Linked DNA regions of Ovis aries. The protein of the gene in region 5 purifies or fractionates together with the protein of the main gene of each other region. This does not show direct contact. Links are inferred from orthologs where the notes say so. Each region holds a gene or a part of one and is shown on either strand. Other genes may lie near its edges. The genes, in order: TMEM59, GHITM, CANX, LRP6 and POMK.

Region 1 (3,577 bases), on a different chromosome or scaffold from region 5:
ATTTACTTCTCCAATGCATGAAAGTGAAAAGTGAAAGTGAAGTCACTTAGTCGTGTCCAACTTTTCACGACCCCATGGACCGCAGCCTACCAGGCTCCTTTTTTCCAGGCAAGAGCACTAGAGTGGGGTGCCATTGCCTTCTCCGCTCTTATATCTATAGGCTTCATTTTATCAATAAACCACTCTAAAATTTAGAAGACTCAGAGATCTTGTTAGATACAGATCAATAGGCTTTAAATAGATTTCCAATGGGCAGCTGCTGCTGCTGCTGCTAAATCACTTCAGTCATGTCCGACTCTGTGCGACCCCTGATACAGCAGCCCACCAGGCTCCCCCATCCCTGGGACCCTCCAGGCAAGAACACTGGAGAGGGTTGCCATTTCCTTCTCCAATGCATGAAAGTGAAAAGTCAAAGTGAAGTCGCTCAGTCGTGTCCGACTCTGAGCAACCCCATCAACTGCAGCCTACCAGGCTCTTCCGTCCATGGGATTTTCCAGGCAAGAGTACTGGAGTGGGGTGCCATTGCCTTCTCCATTACTACTGCTAGTATTTAAATGACTCTATGAAGCACATTATTACCTGGAATATAACGATTTTTCCATCATCAGCTTGAAGATAAAAAGTCCATGAAGAGGTTATGAAGCTCTGTGCAGAGTCCACCATATCACTCCAGAATGATCTTACCAGAGTTAGAGGGAAGAGTAGATGCATTTTTGGCATCAGGGACATGAGCTTAAAAAAAGAAAATTAAATCAAGGTGAAATATATTATTTTTTATATACACATATACAAAAGAACAATATAATCAAATCCTTATTTGGACAGAGTATAAAACAAGTGATTCTATTATCGTCATTAGCATCAGAGTAAACTCTTCATTATCTATGCAATTAACCATGAGCTTAAATTCCTAGGATCCTTTAACGTATCACCTAATACAATATAAGCTACCTGTCACCTCTATCAAATTAACAGGCTTTTGAGTTAGGTCCAAAAATGTAGAAAATCTAAACTCTTCTCTTTTGATTAAATAAGGATTAGCAAGGCCTCAAGAGGCAGAAGAGGAAGGGACAAATCTTTAATACTTTCATGTAAAATGAACCATCCCATAACACACACCAATGGAAAAAAGGAAGGAAAAAAAATCAATCCAAGGAATATATGCATAAAATGTGAGATATCTGATAACAGGGCAGAGGGAGGGAAATATTTATGGGCTGACTACATACAGTAAGCTACTGATGAGATTTTTACATTAATTGGTATCGCCTCCCCTTTAATTCTGACTATTGACTAATTCAACAGCAGTGGGCCCCTCTAGAGAATAAGTATGAGATACCATTCACTGAACTCTAGAGATAGCTTTGGTTCTGGCTGTATTTCAAAAGAAAGACACTATGGGGTTATTAAGGGAGAAGAGCTTTTAGAATCAGAAGAGATCTGTACTCGTGATCTAATTTTTCCACTTAAAAGCTGTGAAATCATTCATTGATTAGTTCACTAAGTAAGCATTCATTGAGATTATACGTTTTAAGAGTCAGAAACCATGTGTGTTTTATTCATCTTTTATTCATCCACATGTGTCTGTGCTTAATCTACGCAGGACAGAGGTGAAACACGGTGTGATACATGTCTGTGGGGAGAGGCATCTAACCCAAACTGGGGTGAGAGGTGGCTAAGAAGGCTTCACAGAGGACATGATACTTGCCCTGAGTCAAAAGGATTCACTAGGCAGAGAATAGAAGAAACAAGAAATAATGTCACCATTAACATATTACAAACATTAAGAACTTCTTAGTATGTACATAATTAAAGGGAAATAAAAAAGGGTCTTAAAAATTAGAAAATATGTTTAAAGTTACTCGTAAGAGAAACACAAATTAAAACTGTAATAAAAGTACTACATTGCCAAGGACTGGGAGGAGGAGGAAAAGACAGTGACTGCTAACGGGTATAAGATTTCTTTTTTCGATAATGAAAACGTTGTGGAAGTAGATAGTAATGATGGTTGCACAGTCTGGAATAGACTAAAAACTACTACACTGAATACTTCAGAAGAATGATTTTTATAGTATGAATTATATGTCAATTTTAAGACGTGATAGAAATTCCATACAAGGCAATTTTGCTCTATTTCCCAAAATTAAAAATGCATATACTTAACTCAGCAATTGTATTCCTATGATTTTATTCTAGAAATATAAATGTAAAAAATAGGCAACATTATATGTAAATCTAAAAAATTAGAAACAACCTTGCTGCTGCTGCTGCTAAGTCACTTCAGTCATGTCCGACTCTGTGCGACCCCATAGATGGCAGCCCACCAAACCCAGAAACAACCCTACATGTCCATAAGCAAGGGACTACTTAAATAAATGATACATCCATATAATGAAATTATGTATGTTCTGGAAAGAAATGAGTAGACAGTCTTTAATTATATTTTAGAAAAGAATACATGTATCCTTGTATAAAATGCCTCTGCACTGGTAACCCTGGCTACATTAATGGAGGAAAATGGAGTGGCTAAGAGATACAGGGGTAGGAAACTTTTCACTAAAGAACTGATCTTTGAACAATGGCAGGGATTAGGGGTGCTGAAATCTGTGAATATACACAGATTATAGTTGGTCTCCCACGTTTGTGATTCTGCATCTGAGAATTCAACCAACTATAGATCACGTAGTACAGTATAATATTAAGAAAAAAAAAATTCAAGTGTAAATGGTCCCGCAGTTAAAATCCATGTTTTTCAAGGGTCAACTGTGTGTGTGTGTGTGTGTGTGTGTGTGTGTGTATATTTTTTTTTTTTCACCTTTTGAATTCTGTACCATGCGGTTGTATTTCCTATGTCAAAGTTAATTCAAAAACTTTCCCCCAAACGCTTGGATAGAGTAAGAGGGGTAGAAATTCTAAGAGATGATATAGAAGAGGTAATCAGAAGCCAGGCTGTGATAAATGGTTTGGACTTAAACCTGTATATAATGGGAAGCTACTGAAGAATATAAGATAGAATCATGACATGAGATTTCCATTTAGAAATAAATATCCAGACACAGACTAGACAATAGACTAGAAGGGGCTAAAGTGGGAAAACAGACTGGAAGCTCATTTAGTAATACAGATGAGAAATGATGCTGATCTAAGGTAATGGCAGATAAGGTAAAAGGAACTCTCCACTTCTCTGAGCCTCAGTTTTTTCATATGCAAAATGGGGATAATACTGTCACCAGACCAAGAAAAAAAAAACAAAATGAGATTATGGGTGTGAACATACCTCTTAACATTAAAGCCTTATACAAAAGTAACTGACTTTTCTATTTGCAAAAATAATTTGTTTGCTGAAACTAATTATAAAATATAATACTGAAATAGGATCATGTGAACAATATACATTTCAATACAAAGTGCAATCTAAGCAGGCATTTCTGAAGGGCGGTATTGTTTCATACTTGTTCTTGTCTCAATTCTGCGTATGGCAGCTGATTCTGGCAACCAAGATGGCAAGCATATTGTTCATCAGATTGGGAATATGCTTCTGTACATGCTGGAAGAGAAAAACAGTAAATTACAAGGA
Region 2 (3,577 bases), on a different chromosome or scaffold from region 5:
CATTTTAGGTGTATTTGGTTAAACCAGTAATAATGGTCTGCCATTATGCCAAAGGAGTAAAGCCAGTCAAACTGGCATATACCTTTTAATCAACTTTAAAAATGACACTGACTACATTCTCTCCATTAGAATACCAGGGTATGTGAGATGATTTCAGGACACCAAGAACCAAGTGTCAAAGCATAGTGGCTTACCTAGAGAGGACACAAAGACGACACCGAGGCCCACACCCAGGGGCGCCCCCATGTTCAGAAACTTCTCACTGGGCGCACACATGGCCACGGTGGAGAGACCCCCCACAATGCCAGCCGTGTACCACGCAGCTCTGACGAGAAGAGGGCCCCCTAATATCGTCAGAGGGGCCACCACAGCACCCATCACACCTGGAGAAAGAGCAAGTGGGCACTTAAGCGTTTACTACATAACCACCAAAAGCAAAATGCTTCTAACTAACCTGCCTTTTGAACATATTAAACAATAGGACTACAAAGTTTTCTCCTTATTTTATTAACAGTAGCCACAAAACTCCTAAGCTAAAACTTATACCTATCCAAATTCTAAATCACAACAGTAACGCCATTTCTAGCCAAATAATCAATACTCACAAGTATAAACACTAGTCTAGAATTTTAGTAACTCTGTCAAATTCAATGTAGCTCATTATTTGGATCTGAGTCTACCAAGTCTTTATAATAACATTCACATTTGGAAGAAATGAGATAAAGAAAAGGCTTAAAATAACTTTTTTTTAAAAAGCAGCAAATGCATACTATGTTATAAATAATTTTCTTCTTAAAAGCAGGATACTGGTATTAAAGGAAAATACTGGGATTACTGCCCTCCCATCCACTAAAGTTCCATCCTGTAAAGCTCCATGGAAAATACCTATGGCTGAATTACCTAAGACCTAATGGGAGAGAGACTTGAAAGCCAAGGTTGGGAAGGCATGCTGTCTCATATTCCCCCAAAGACAGCACATGAATGTAAATGCTGTATTTCACACTGGAGATTCATCATATTGGGTGCCCAAAGCCTAATTTCCATGTACCAACCCATGTGGAAAACATTTCGGTCTCTCTCCCTGGAAGTTTCATGGAAATGCTTATAGAATTTGTCTTATTTTGTGGCAGGGAACATGCATCTAAGAAGCATTTTGGTTCTGCACCTGGCTGGCTCTTTACTCAACCCAGAGGCAGATACCTGCCATAGAAAATACTTTATGTAGAAAAGCATGTGTCGTTCCATAATGAAGGAGACTATTACAAACACCTCAAAGAATATTAAAACTGTTCCAGAATACCAGGGTTGGACAGCCTCTGCCTTGCCTACAGTAACTTCGTGTCAAGATCTATCTAAATGTCGATCCAGCTAATGGTGTCACATTAGCTGTACAGAAGTAGAGCTAATTAGAAGTGCATTTCCAAACATCTTTTCGATTCTTTTCTTCCCTATACTCTACTGCAAAAACCTCTCTCTTATTTTTACTTCTTCTGTCCCTGGTGGAGACCTTCAGTTTTTTATTTTCTGAAAGATATACAGTAAGAACAATTCTCAAGTGATGTGCACCAGACTTGAAATCCTCCTGGTATTAGACGAAACACATAAAAGAAACCTCTGCCTATCTAGACTATTACCAGAGAAGAGTGTAACACTGGGGCTGTCCATGGTCTTAGTACCAGAAACATTAACTTGCCAGAATGGAGCAGTAATACAACCAGGAATAAGTGCAGGAAACTCTCAGTGTTTAGTAGACCAGAGGCTTAATTAAATTGTGCGTGTCATTTACGACTGTGAAGAGCCATCAAAAAAGGTAGTTTAAGACCGTGTAATAGCAATTTTAAAACAACATACCAGAATGTAGTAACCAAGCAAGGTGCTTTGGGCCTGGACTCTGCTCATATGATATTGACTGTACCAGCATTCCAGCTCCAATCATGGCTGCAAAGGTTGCACCAATGGTCTGAAAGACATGTATTACTAAGGAAAGCCGATCCTTACACAACAACAAAGTAGAACCCACGAGTTCCAAGTGCAGTTAGTCCTTCCAGTAGACTGTGCTTAAAAAGATGAAGAAGAATAAACAGAATCCTTTCTTTTTCTAGCACATTAAAAGGCCTTGTGCTTACTTCAGTTTGATCAAATTAGCAAGAGTGCCCCCTACTGTTATACACAAAGTTTTGCAGACAACTGTAAGTAAATGAGTTTTTATTCTGGGCTCCCCTGGTGGTCCACCCTGCAATGCTGGGGGACGCCTGTTTGACCCCTGGTCCGCGAGTGCCCCACATGCCGCGAGGTAACCAGGCCTGTGCTCTAGAGCCCAGCAGCCACAGCTACCGAGCCCACACGCCAAGAGCCTGTGCTCCACAGCAAGAGAAGCTACAGCAATGAGAGGCCCTGCATGCGCAACTAGAGAGCCCATGGGCAGCAACAAGGACCTACCACAGTCAAATAAATAAAGATGTAAAAATTAATCTTTAAAACATTTTATTCTTGTTAGACAGAGGTGTAACAGAACCACTTTAAAAATCCCAGAACAATTATTGTAGACTATATTTATTTTGGCATAACACTAACATTAAAAACAATTACTCATGATATACCAATTAGAACATATATGGCACACTGCCTTAAACTCTATTCTCTAAATGAAAACTTGAAAAATAGGAGCACAAGAAAAAGACGAGAAATAAGAGTCTTCGTTTCTATCCTCCCAGTTTTTTGGCTGAATTGGCTGGCCCTCATCCCTCTACTTTGCCTATGTTTGATTTCCACTGTTACACATTTATATATTCTGTGTGCACAAGAAAGAAATGTTTGTAATGCAAGAAAGATACTTTTCAGGAAATTTAAGGCAGAAACTGCATACTTGCAGCCCTTTGGCAAGATTAGGCAGCAGACATTTTGTTTGGCCAACTATTCAAACCAACAAACAAAAGTGAGTTCATTTAGTTGGGAAGGCATTCTCTAGATGCCCCGGTAGTTCAGATGGTAAAGCGTCTGCCTACAATGCATGAGACCTGGGTTTGATCCCTCGATCAGGAAGATCCCCTGGAGAAGGAAATGGCAACCCACTCCAGTATTCATGCCTGGAAAATCCCATGGACTGAGGAGCCTGGTGGGCTACAGTCCATGGGGTCACGAAGAGTTGGACACAACTGAGCGACTTCACTTCACTTCTCTAGATGCCAATAATCCCGTGTAACATACCAGGCCTGCCTCAATCATCTGCCTCATCTGCCTGAACCAAGGACATCTGAATGGTCAACCCTGTGGTAAAGTACAGGTAAATGGAACAGCTATTTTTGCTGAGAATGGGAAAGCCTTCACTCATAATACCCAATAGCACAATGGATTCTACTCCAACATCTTCCAAGGGAGAAACAATTACTAAAAGCTACTTCATGGATCTCTGCATTTTCAGGATATCTAACGTAATTGTGTATTTTTCTTTTAAAATCCTTCATGATGCAGGTCCATTTTTTGCCTTTTACCTTCCCATACCCTACACTTCAGCTACACTGAAGTGGTATACTGCAAACACATCCCAGTTTCCTGCCTCTTTAATTCTGTTTATTGT
Region 3 (3,577 bases), on a different chromosome or scaffold from region 5:
CTTTGTAGGTGACCTGTGTTAAACATAAAAATGAATTAAGAATTAAAATATTCTCAGTAGGATCTATTCTCTTGGTTTGCTTTCACACTTGCATGACTGGCCCTCAAATTCAACCCATATAATTTATCTTTGGGACAATATAACAAAGGTTGACAGGGAGAGCAATAAGTATTTTAGCAAATTTTGCTTTCCCTTTGGTAAGGATCCAAAATGTACCTTCATCTTTTGATCATCTCAAGAGGCAAAACAAACAGATTCAAAGATCATGTCAAACCTTTGGCGATGGCGGACTGCTGGCATCTGGCTTCGGTTTCGAGTCTTCTACCTCTTCAATGACGTCATCAAGGTCATCCTCAATGTCAATCACATCATCGTCATGTCCATCATGAGCTTGAACAAGAGCAGTTCCAAGGACCAGTAACATACACAGCAACCACTTCCCTTCCATGATCTAAGTATTTATTAAAAAAAAATACAGTTAATTGTATCACCTCCTTTCAAAAATTTTGAACCCTTATTTAAAATTAAGGCTTTCAAATCAGAGCTGAAAGGAACTTTACTGTATTTCATTTTATAGATAAAGAAAGTGAACTCAGAATAACAGGTTTTCCTAAAATCAGTTAGTTAAAAGATTCAATTTCAAGAAAAAATTCAAACTATAACTCAAACAATTGTCCCCATATAGAATATCATGTTGGCTACACAGACCTAGGGTGTTCAGATATAATTTCAAAATAACTTCTTGCATTTGTAAAGAGCTTTACAATAGACAAAGCCCCTTTTACAGAATAGTTTAAACGAGTTAAAACATTACAATGAAATAACAGAGGAGTTAACTTGCCTCACATTAAAGACTTAATTTAGATTAGATGCTGCTGTTTTTGTCCAAAGATCAAGAAGAATAGGTATGTTTTTTAATTAGTGTTTTAAGGGACTTCCAGGGAACCCTGTGCAAAGCAGGGGACTTGAGTTTGATCCATGGCTGGGGAACTAAGATCCTCCATGCAACAGAGCAACTAAGCCCAGAGCAAACAGGCCACAATTCGAGACTCCATGCTCAACAAGGTCCTGCACTAAAACCAGACCCCGCAGGATGCAAAGATCCCACCTGTCAGCAACTAAGACCCAATAAGCCAAGTAAATAAATAATACATCAGTTTTAAGATTCAACAAAAAAATATATTAAACCATGCTGCTGCTGCTAAGTCACTTCAGTCGTGTCCGACTCTGTGCAACCCCAAAGACGGCAGCCCACCAGGCTCTGCCGTCTCTGGGATTCTCCAGGCAAGAACACTGGAGTGGGGTGCCATTTTCTTCTCCAGTGGATGAAAGTGAAAAATGAAAGAGAAGTCGCTCAGTCATGTCCGACTCTGTGCCACCCCATGGACTGCAGCCCACCAGGCTCCTCCGTCCATGGGAGTTTCCAGGCAAGAGTACTGGAGTGGGGCGCCATTGCCTTCTCCGAAAAACAAAAAAATATATTAAACCATAGACCAACTATTTTTATCTCTTTTTTCTAAGCCTTCAAGTGTCTTACATATCATATCTGACTGTCATGGATGGTAGTCAATCCTCTCTCCAAAACCACAGATCTAAAGATACAAAAACTGAGCCACACGGATGCACAAAATGATTCGGCAGTAGGTTGTACAGAATTTTAATTCTGCAAGATGAAGAGTTCTCGAGACGGATGGAGGTGAAAGCTGTACAACAATATGAACATACTCAATGCCACTGAACTTGATGGTTAAGATGGTAAATCTTACAAGTATTTTCACTGCTATAAAAAAGATTTTATTAAAATAAAATAGCTTAATTTTTTGGTCACTGGTAAATCAACTTATTCTAATGCTGAATTTAACGCCTAATTCCTTATAAATGCTATAATCCTTTAAAGTGATTGATTATATAGAACTAGACTTTCATGTATCATTTGGCGGCATTTCCTTTATTTATAAAGCGTGGGTACTGTTTTCACAAAATGAAAGAAAGTAAGGCTCACTGGACTCCTAGGCAGCACAGAAAATAAAGAAATAAAAGATTTTTATAAAAATAAAAACTCACTCATCATCTTTCCTAGGACTGGTATTAGAGTTTAAAAACTCTCAATGTCAACATTCTGCTATGGCTTCTTATATACCAAGAAATGCCAGTAATTTCAATTTTTCACTGTTAAGGCTTCTATTCTCTACCACCGAAATCTACAATGGCGTAGCAATATCGCTTTGATTTACAACTACACTGGATTCTCTGAAACTAAACAGGCTGATTCAACCCTTTTATCTACATCAACTGTATACAACCTAAGAAGTCCTCACAGAAATAATGCTATAAATGGCAGTTGGGTTCCCAGGGATACTCTATAAATCAAATTAGCCCACAAAATAGTTAAGTCAAAAAGGCAAATGTGATAAGCCCAGTAGCAATTAAGTGAACCACAAAGCCAGTGAATTAATAAGGACTGTGCACTGATGTTAAAACACTGCTGCTCAAGGAAAAGCTAATCGGGGAGATGAACTAACTACTTAACTTTCAAAAATGGGATTCAGGTAGGGTTCAGTGAGGGAGAGTACAGCTGCAGAACAGGAAGACTGATTTTTTTCCCTGTATCTTTTAATTTACTGATATACTGCTGTTATGTTATGGGCTTGCAGATGGCTCAGTGGTAAAGAACTGGTCTGCCAATGAAGGAGACCCACATTTCGGGAAGATCCGCTGGAGAAGGAAATGGTAACCCACTCCAGTATTCTTGCCTGGGAAATCCTATGGAAGGACCTGGCAGGCTACAGTCCATGGGGTTGTAAAAGATTTGGTCACAAGTGAGCAACTGAGCGCACACACACATACAACATATACCGCTGTTACAGGCTTAACTGTGTCTCCTACCTCAAATTTGTATGTTGAAACTTGAACTCCCAACATAACTATATTTAGAGATAGGACCTTTAAGTAATTAAGGTTAAAAGCAGTCATAAGGTTGGGGCCCTAACTGGTGTCTATAGTAAGAGGAAGAGAACCAGGAATCCACATGCACAGAGGTTAAGTCCAACGAGGACACAAGATGGTGGCCCTCCGCAAGCTGAGGAGGAAGGCCACATCAGAAGCCAACTCTGCCAACGCCTCGATCACAGACTTCCAGACTGTAAGAAAACACTTTTCTGTTGTTTAAGCTGCCCGGCCTGTGGTGCTGTTGTGGCAGTCCAAGCAGACTAACACAATGCTCCTTGGGTTGAGTATAATGTCACAAGACAGCTCTTCCTAACTTGAGCGTGCCTCAGGGGGCTTTTTAAAACAGACTGCTGATTGAGTGTGTGCGTGCTGGGCCTTTTCCTTCCTATCAGGTTCCAGGGGATGCAAAGGTTGCTACCCTGAGAACCACTGACTAGGGTTTATGAATCATCAACTTGTGCTTTGTGTTCCAGTTTATAAAAGCACTTTCACAGTTACATTATTTTGCAAACCTCCCTTGAGGTATTACTAAGATGTAGTGAAATGAAAACAACCCAATCATTTACTCAATATCACAACCAATAAGTGAGAGTCAAAGACTTCAGATCTCCTATTTCTATTACACTAG
Region 4 (3,577 bases), on a different chromosome or scaffold from region 5:
TCTAAATGAATGCTTGTTTCTTTTTTTCCCCCAGTTCTTGGAAAAAATTTTGTTTTCTTTCAAAATCATGGCTACAGGGCTCTCCTTAATGATGTCATCTCATGCTTTTTCTTCATTTGTTTACTCGTGTATTCTTTCAGTGAATATTTACTGAACAGCTAATCCACACTGGGCATTATTTGAGCCAATGAAGAATGTATTGCTGAATGAAACAGACATTAATCCCTGCCCTTGTGGAGGTTACGTTCCATCAGGATAGATAATGAACTAAATAAGTAAACTGTATCATGAGGTAGATGGAGATGAGTGTTATGGAGAAAATTATGAGCAGGAAAGGGTGCGTAGGAGGATCTTGATGTTAAATAGGATCACGAGAGAAGTCCTGGCATAAAAGTGACACTATGTCAGGTACTGAGGGAGGTGAGGAAATGAGCTTTGCTGGCTCCCTGGGAGAAGACCTGTCAAGCAGAGGGGAACATGTCTGGCATGTTGGAGAAACACCTGGGGGCCAGTGTCTCTGGAACAGAGTGTAAAGGGATTAAGTCAGAGAGGAAGCAGGAGGCCACATTGTGTAATCCTGTGTTCAGTACTGAAGCAGTTGGCCTTTGTGGCATCTTTGTGCACATTGAGAAAAGGTGTTTCCTCTGGGCACATGCAGCTGCACAGGTGCTTGACTTGGCTACCCAGGTGCAGCCTGGACTTAAGTCCGCTTGAGGCCTTTGGCACAGCTCAGAGATAGCACAATCCATCGTGGTGGGCTTGGGCTGGTCACTTACAATGTTCTTATACCAGAGTGGTACCTTTCTTTAAGCTTTAGGCGAACACTTGTGTCTTCAGAGGAGAGCTGAAAAGCTCCTGCCTGCTTACACCTTCTCCTCCAGCTTCTGCATGTGGGAGTGCAACACTGAGACAGCCCGACAGGACCGTTTTGAAGCCTTCTGCAAGAGACGAGGGGGTGGTGGTTAGAGGTGACATAAATTAGCATGGGTTTAGGCTTACAGAACTGCATATTCTTTGTCCCTTTTGTAAATAAGTCAAAATATCAGCTTCCTCCTGGAACTATTTAGCCAACTGTAATTAATGTCATCCATAGACTTTTTGAAATGAGTATTTGTTTGGAGCCATATTTGGCTTTGTCATCATCTATGTTTCTAGAACACTTAATCGTGAAAGCTTACTAAATGTTTTACTAAAGGTTAAAATTTGACTCAAAGAAAGAAAAAAACAATACAAAGTGAAACATAACTAGGAGCCCAATATATATTTGATTAATTATTTCCCAGGCAGGAAAATTAGGCAGCTAAAACTATGGGGTCTTTCTTCTGAGTTTCATTGTATGTCTTAATATGCTATTTTGTTGGAAGCTTACTATCAGGACCTTTTTTTTTTTTTTTTCCCCTATTTTCTTGATTTATAAGGAAGTAGTACTGCCAAAAAATAATTCTTTTTTTTTTTTTTTTTTTAATGGGAGACTTGTTAACTACTCTGTTGTGACATGTATTCTTACTAATTAAGGTGTTGGTTCTACTAAAATTGCTGAAAGTTGTTAAATCAGTATGCTCTGGACTCTACACAATGGAGAGTGCAGTGGAGTCACTGAAATATTTTTTAAATCTTCCAAGCTAGGTGTGGACTTTGAGCCAGTGGGTAACTTAAAGCAGAATTTCGGGGTTGTGAATACCAAGTTTCTTTGTGAGAAGCAGTGATTTCTTCAAGATTTAAACTGATGTACATATGGGTGTAGGTTTAACACTGTGAAGAATGGGGTTTAGGAGGAGATAAAGCAAGGAGTTCTGTTTTGGCCATTTGTGTTTATATCCCTGATAAGGACAAAATTCTGCTGGATTTAGGTGATGACTGACCAACAAGAGTAGAGTGTATAATTTGGGAATTTTTACATTTGTTTTAAAGAAGATTTTAAAAAAGACTGTTAGACTTTGAAGTTTTTGGTAGCGTTGTCAGATGGTGTTCTTTTCTAGATACTCTCCTCCTTAAAGATGACTGCATAGTAATCAGAGGCCTAGTCCCTGGGACAGGGAAGTGTTGTCTCGGCTGCATTTCCCTGTTTCATAGACTTCAGGCATCAACTAGTGTGTGAATTTTTTTTTTTTTTTAATGGTTCCCTCTCCTTGCAACCATTACATCCCCACAGTGTAAAACAAAGCCTATATATCTACAACCCATGAGGGTTTGTTTCATTCGTACTAACACCACATTTATTATTGCCACTACTGATGATAAGCAATAGCTATTTTTACTTGACATTTATATAATGTCTTATAGGTTTTTTGTTCAGGTATTGTACAATTGGGGCTTCCCTGGTGGCTCAGTAGTAAAGAATCCTACTGCCAGTGCTGGAGATGTGGGTCCAGTCCCTGGGTGAGGAAGATCCTCTGGAGAAGGAAATTGCAACCCACTCCAGTATTCTTGCCTGGAGAATCCCATGGAGAGGAGCCTGGTGGGCTACAGTCCTTGAGGTTGTAAAAGAGACATGACTTTGTGACTAAAGAACAACAACATTGTACAATTGACATGATACCTTACCTTTTTATTTTTACTCGTGTTATAAAATTCTTACAGCAACTCAGTGAGCAGGACAGCATAACCATAACCTAGTTGAGTAAATTTCGACCCCACGAGGTTGAAGGCTGTAGTTAAGATCAAGTGACTAAATTATGTGAGAACTGAAACTAAAACCACTATTGAAGTCTCTTTTTTGACCTGTGGAGACCCAGACTTCTTTCACCCACAAGAATAGATGAGGGAGGAGTTAGGATTATTTACTTGGTAGACAGGGGAATTTTGTTTGTCAAATGCTTCATTGAAATCAGGTGTCCTGTGATGATGCCACTGTGGACATTGGACAGAGAAAAATTGGCTAGTTGGCTGTGTTATAGCGTAAAATTCATAACTGGTTTAGTATCCAGAGTGTGATCAGTGTTTCCTCTAAGAGTTCTGAAGGCATTCCAAAGGGCTTTGTCTCATACAGGTCTTCAACATACATGTCTGTTTTTGTGAGATACAGACAACAGACCAATCAAATCTTTGAGTGATCTGAGACTTAGGATAACTGTTTCATATTTGCTTCCTTCTCTCTTTAAGCTCCAACTACTTTCCTGCTCTTCAGTCAGAAGAGCGCCATCAACCGCATGGTGATTGATGAACAGCAGAGCCCTGACATCATCCTTCCTATCCACAGCCTTCGGAATGTCCGGGCCATTGACTATGACCCCCTGGACAAGCAACTCTATTGGATTGACTCAAGACAAAACATGATCCGAAAAGCACAAGAAGATGGCAGCCAGGTAATCCAGGGCTCAGTTCAAAATCTGGTTCTTCTGTGTAGTTATTGGACCAGCTGGCCATCCTAGTCTACTTATGCAATGACTCTGCTTGTGTGTGTGTATAAAGCTGGAATTCTGAACCTGGCAGCACTTTTTCTCTCCTAAATGATCTTTGAGTAAACAGTTGTTTGCTAGTGCTATTGAAATGAAGATTGTATTGTATTAAAATAACTTCTGCTCATATATTAGAATGACTTTGTCAGTCCACCCATATCCATTTATATTCCATTTTA
Region 5 (3,577 bases):
GCTCCCTCCCCGACGCGCTTCAGAGGCCTCACTTCCGTCCTCAGCTGCTCGCAGGACAGCCACGGGGAGCAGGTGGCCGCCTGCCCCATGCTGAAGTGGCCGGGCGGGCAGCGGCCGGGGTGCGCCGTGGGGCTGCGGGGCGCGGTGACGAGCCGGTCGAGGCAGAGGTAGAGGAGGATGTTCATGAGCGCCATGGACAGCAGCAGCCCCACGGCCGGGGGCAGCTCCCTGGGCGCAGGCCCCTTCCTGCCCTCCGGGGGCCTCGTCTCCATGGCACTGCGCTCTGCCAGCCCCTCAGACGGAGACATGAGGCGTGGTCACAGCCCAGGCAGACTCAGGAAGGACGGAGGGGCCCGGGGCCGCCGTGAGCAGCCGCGGGCCGCGTGCCCGATGCCGGCTCCTCCCGGAGCCCCGACTTTTGACTGCAGGGTCGAGCAGAAGGCAGTCTTGGGCCTGTCCGGCCGTGTCTCTGTCTCCCCTACAGCCACCTGCAGTGAGGAAAGGCAAGCACCGCGCAGCTAGCAATGCTAAGAGGAAAGCAAAGCGCGGCTCTGGAGACGGCAAGGGAGAGAGAAGCTGGGCTGGGGGCCGTCCGGGATGCTGAGGGGCTGGGGTGCTCCTTGGGAGGTGCTCAGAAGCCCCCTGATGCTTTTAAGAAGCAAAGGTGTGAAAGGGTGCCCCGGGAGGTTGGTGGGGGAGGCGGCGGTAGGGGAGGTGGTGGTGGGAGAGGCTGGGTGGGGGCCCGGGCCGGAATCCAGGATGAGCGCTGATAAGAAGGCAGGTGGCCTGACAGGGGTGAGGTGGGGGCGCAGGTGACTCTCAGAGGCCCGGGAGCAGGTGCTGGGCCAGTGCGAGGCAGGGACTGCTGCCTGGCCACAGGGGGCTGGGAGGAACCTGGATATCGGGCCCTCCAGGATCCTGGGGTGGACGCTGGTTGCCACCCACCGGGAGCGGCCAGAGCAGAGGGCACGGACTTAGCCGCAGCACCAGGCACATGAGACACAGTGCCTGACGGACCCTGGGTCTCGGGGCCCAGGACACGGCGACACAAAGCCTTACCTGCCGGGAGGGCCTTCCTTCTTGCTCAGGTTTCTGGCCAGACTCCTGGATCGGTCAAGGCTCCAGCTGGCTCCACGCGCTGGTTTCAAAGCACTCTTCCTCTAAGTACCAAACAGGAGGTCTGTTGAATAAGACTTGTGACTCTGCACACAGACAAACGGCCACAGTCCAAGCAGCTCCCTTTCCCAGGCCCTCCCAGCTAGGGGGGTCTCCCAGGCTCCCGATCTCCGGGTCGGTGCAGGGGGGCCGGGAGCCCAGGCCTCCCCGCCAGCCCCTCTTTGCCCCCGGCCACCCCCATGACCCCCATCACTCCCTCCTGGAACCCACTCCTCCAACACGTCTTAGGCAGCCTGTACGTGCCCTGCTGTGGGCACTGCCAAGCGCCAGGCCATCCTCTTTGAACGACGCCTGCCTTCTCACTGCAAACTGTTCTCTGCAAGCACAAACAGAAAGTCTGCAGCCCCAGGACCTGGCGGGGAGCTCGACGCCTCCGCTCTCGTCTGGAGCAGCTAAGTCGCTCTGCCTGGAGAAGCCACTTCTGTCTCTGACCCAGAGTTGAGCACAGGGAATACAGCCATTATTTTGTAGTAACTTTTAAGTGGAACATAAGCTTTAAAAATACTGAGTCACCATGTTGTATGCTTGAAACTAACGAAATAGTGTAAATCACCTATAATTCAATTAAAAACTTAGGCTGAGATGTAATTCACACACTGTAAATTTGAGGTCATCACCTCACACCTGTCAGAATGGCCATCAGCAAGAGAGACAAGAGATAACAAACGCTGGTGAGGAGGTGAAGAAAAGGGAGCACTCTGACTCTGTTGGTGGGAACGTTCATTGGTGCAGCTGCCACGGAAAGCCAGGTGAAAGTGCCTCAAAACACTAAAATTAGAACCATCACATGATCCAGCAATCTCACTCCTGGGTGCATATCCAAAAAAAACCCCAAAAAACCCCTACTAATTTGAAAAGATACATGCACCCCTATGTCCATAGCATCATTATTCACAAGAGTCAAGACATGGAAGGAACAGTGTCTGTCAACAGAGAATGAATGAAGATGCTGTATGTATTTTTATGTGTGTGTGTGTGTGTATATATATATATATGTATATATATATATATAAAATCTTAACACGAAAAGATAAAAAAAATACTTCCCAAACTCAACCCTCCCCCCTCAAATCCGCTCTTTTCAGTGCTCGCGATCTCAGAGGTGCCAGCTGTAATCTCCCAGTGACCACGCTGCAGGGGTCAGCAGTGACAGCGCTTCTGCTGAGCAGGGACTGTCAGAGGGGAGGGACTCGTCTCAGCCACACCACCCTGGACACGCCAGACCGCATCTCCCCTCCGAAGCTAAGCGGGGTCAGGCCGGGTTAGTAGGTGGATGGGAGAAGGGAGGACTCTTCCACGGGTCAGTGTACTTTGCCCTTATCGGAAGAGAACGCAGGGCTTTTATCATCTCTGCCGTCACCGCGAGGAGCTCAGGGACCCCCTCCTCTCTGGGACCAGGTGGGGTGCTCACCCATGGCCCAAGTCCTGCCAGCAGCACCCAGTGACGGCCCGGGCGCTATCTGCTCGCCGTCCTCGAGATCCCGGGCCCGCATCTTTCTCTCCGGCGCCCTCCCTCCAGACGTCTCCCAGGACTCTGGTGGACGCAGCAACAACATTAACCACTCCGGCCTCACAGTCTCCAGAGTGTCTTCCCCCAGTGCCTGATTCTTAGAAGCTGACCTGCAAGAAACAGGCAAAACTCCTGCCGTCTCTCCTCTGTGGCATTTAAAGTGACCAAGAGTGTCTCGACTTAGACCTGAGGTCAGAAGAACTTTTTCCCATAAAGTGCCAGACAGTAAAAGTTCAGCTTTAGGGGCCAGAGCGGTAATCGAGGGGCCACACACTGGGACGTGCGGGGCGTGCAGCGGCCGTGCAGTGTGACCGGGGGACGGTCACGTCCCTCCATCCGGCCGCCAGAAGCAGCCAGGCCCTCCTGCACCAGTGGGGCGAGCATGGCTCTGCTCCAGCAAAACTCTGCTCACAGACACTGGGATTCGAGCCTCACGTCACAAAAGACTGTTCCTTTGTTTCTTTCCCCCAGTATTTAAAAACGTGAAAGGGATCCTTAGCTCACGGGCCACCCGAGAATGGGAGGCGGGAGGAGCGGCTGGCCGGCCCGCCTCAGGGGATGGCATCCCTCGGGTGATGTCACGGGCTCCTCTTCCATTCCACGCCTTCCACGTGGTCTCATCCACGCACACGGCTCAGGCGGCCGCGTACACGCCAATGGTTTCCAGCCTCTGCTGTGACCTGGCTCTTTCTCCTAAAGCATCACTTAGCCGGGGACCCCTCAAGGTCTGGGATGTCCACACCTGAATTCCCTCTCCTGTCGCCAGCATGCCTGCCACGCAGGGGTCCCCACTGTGAGGGGGACTCAACCGGGGAACTTGATGTCTCCATCCCCTAAGCACGACCGACCAGTCACCATGGACAGTCGCTTCAACCCCTGAAAGCTCCCAAA

Evidence for each region.
Region 1: the proteins of POMK (region 5) and TMEM59 purify together in Homo sapiens (affinity purification with mass spectrometry; 3 studies listed by BioGRID and IntAct, with this or other methods). This does not show direct contact. The link is inferred for Ovis aries from reciprocal best matches to the Homo sapiens genes POMK and TMEM59.
Region 2: the proteins of POMK (region 5) and GHITM purify together in Homo sapiens (affinity purification with mass spectrometry; 3 studies listed by BioGRID and IntAct, counting the BioPlex papers as one, with this or other methods). This does not show direct contact. The link is inferred for Ovis aries from reciprocal best matches to the Homo sapiens genes POMK and GHITM.
Region 3: the proteins of POMK (region 5) and CANX purify together in Homo sapiens (affinity purification with mass spectrometry; 3 studies listed by BioGRID and IntAct, counting the BioPlex papers as one, with this or other methods). This does not show direct contact. The link is inferred for Ovis aries from reciprocal best matches to the Homo sapiens genes POMK and CANX.
Region 4: the proteins of POMK (region 5) and LRP6 purify together in Homo sapiens (affinity purification with mass spectrometry; 3 studies listed by BioGRID and IntAct, counting the BioPlex papers as one, with this or other methods). This does not show direct contact. The link is inferred for Ovis aries from reciprocal best matches to the Homo sapiens genes POMK and LRP6.

What each region holds. Positions count from the first base shown.
Region 1 is NC_056054.1:28,569,607-28,573,183, forward strand, and holds part of TMEM59 (transmembrane protein 59), read right to left. Parts: intron 3,548-3,577; coding exon 3,453-3,547; intron 733-3,452; coding exon 580-732; intron 1-579.
Region 2 is NC_056078.1:38,167,661-38,171,237, reverse strand, and holds part of GHITM (growth hormone-inducible transmembrane protein), read right to left. Parts: intron 1,961-3,577; coding exon 1,852-1,960; intron 384-1,851; coding exon 195-383; intron 1-194. UniProt on the Homo sapiens protein: Plays an important role in maintenance of mitochondrial morphology and in mediating either calcium or potassium/proton antiport. Mediates proton-dependent calcium efflux from mitochondrion.
Region 3 is NC_056058.1:1,394,342-1,397,918, forward strand, and holds part of CANX (calnexin), read right to left. Parts: intron 452-3,577; 5' UTR 449-451; coding exon 275-448; intron 14-274; coding exon 1-13. UniProt on the Homo sapiens protein: Calcium-binding protein that interacts with newly synthesized monoglucosylated glycoproteins in the endoplasmic reticulum. It may act in assisting protein assembly and/or in the retention within the ER of unassembled protein subunits.
Region 4 is NC_056056.1:203,329,462-203,333,038, forward strand, and holds part of LRP6 (low-density lipoprotein receptor-related protein 6), read left to right. Parts: intron 1-3,102; coding exon 3,103-3,305; intron 3,306-3,577. UniProt on the Homo sapiens protein: Component of the Wnt-Fzd-LRP5-LRP6 complex that triggers beta-catenin signaling through inducing aggregation of receptor-ligand complexes into ribosome-sized signalosomes.
Region 5 is NC_056079.1:37,076,892-37,080,468, reverse strand, and holds part of POMK (protein O-mannose kinase), read right to left. Parts: intron 2,797-3,577; exon of another isoform or gene 2,588-2,796; intron 1,203-2,587; exon of another isoform or gene 1,161-1,202; 5' UTR 1,060-1,160; intron 489-1,059; 5' UTR 309-488; coding exon 1-308. UniProt on the Homo sapiens protein: Protein O-mannose kinase that specifically mediates phosphorylation at the 6-position of an O-mannose of the trisaccharide (N-acetylgalactosamine (GalNAc)-beta-1,3-N-acetylglucosamine (GlcNAc)-beta-1,4-mannose) to generate phosphorylated O-mannosyl trisaccharide (N-acetylgalactosamine-beta-1,3-N-acetylglucosamine-beta-1,4-(phosphate-6-)mannose).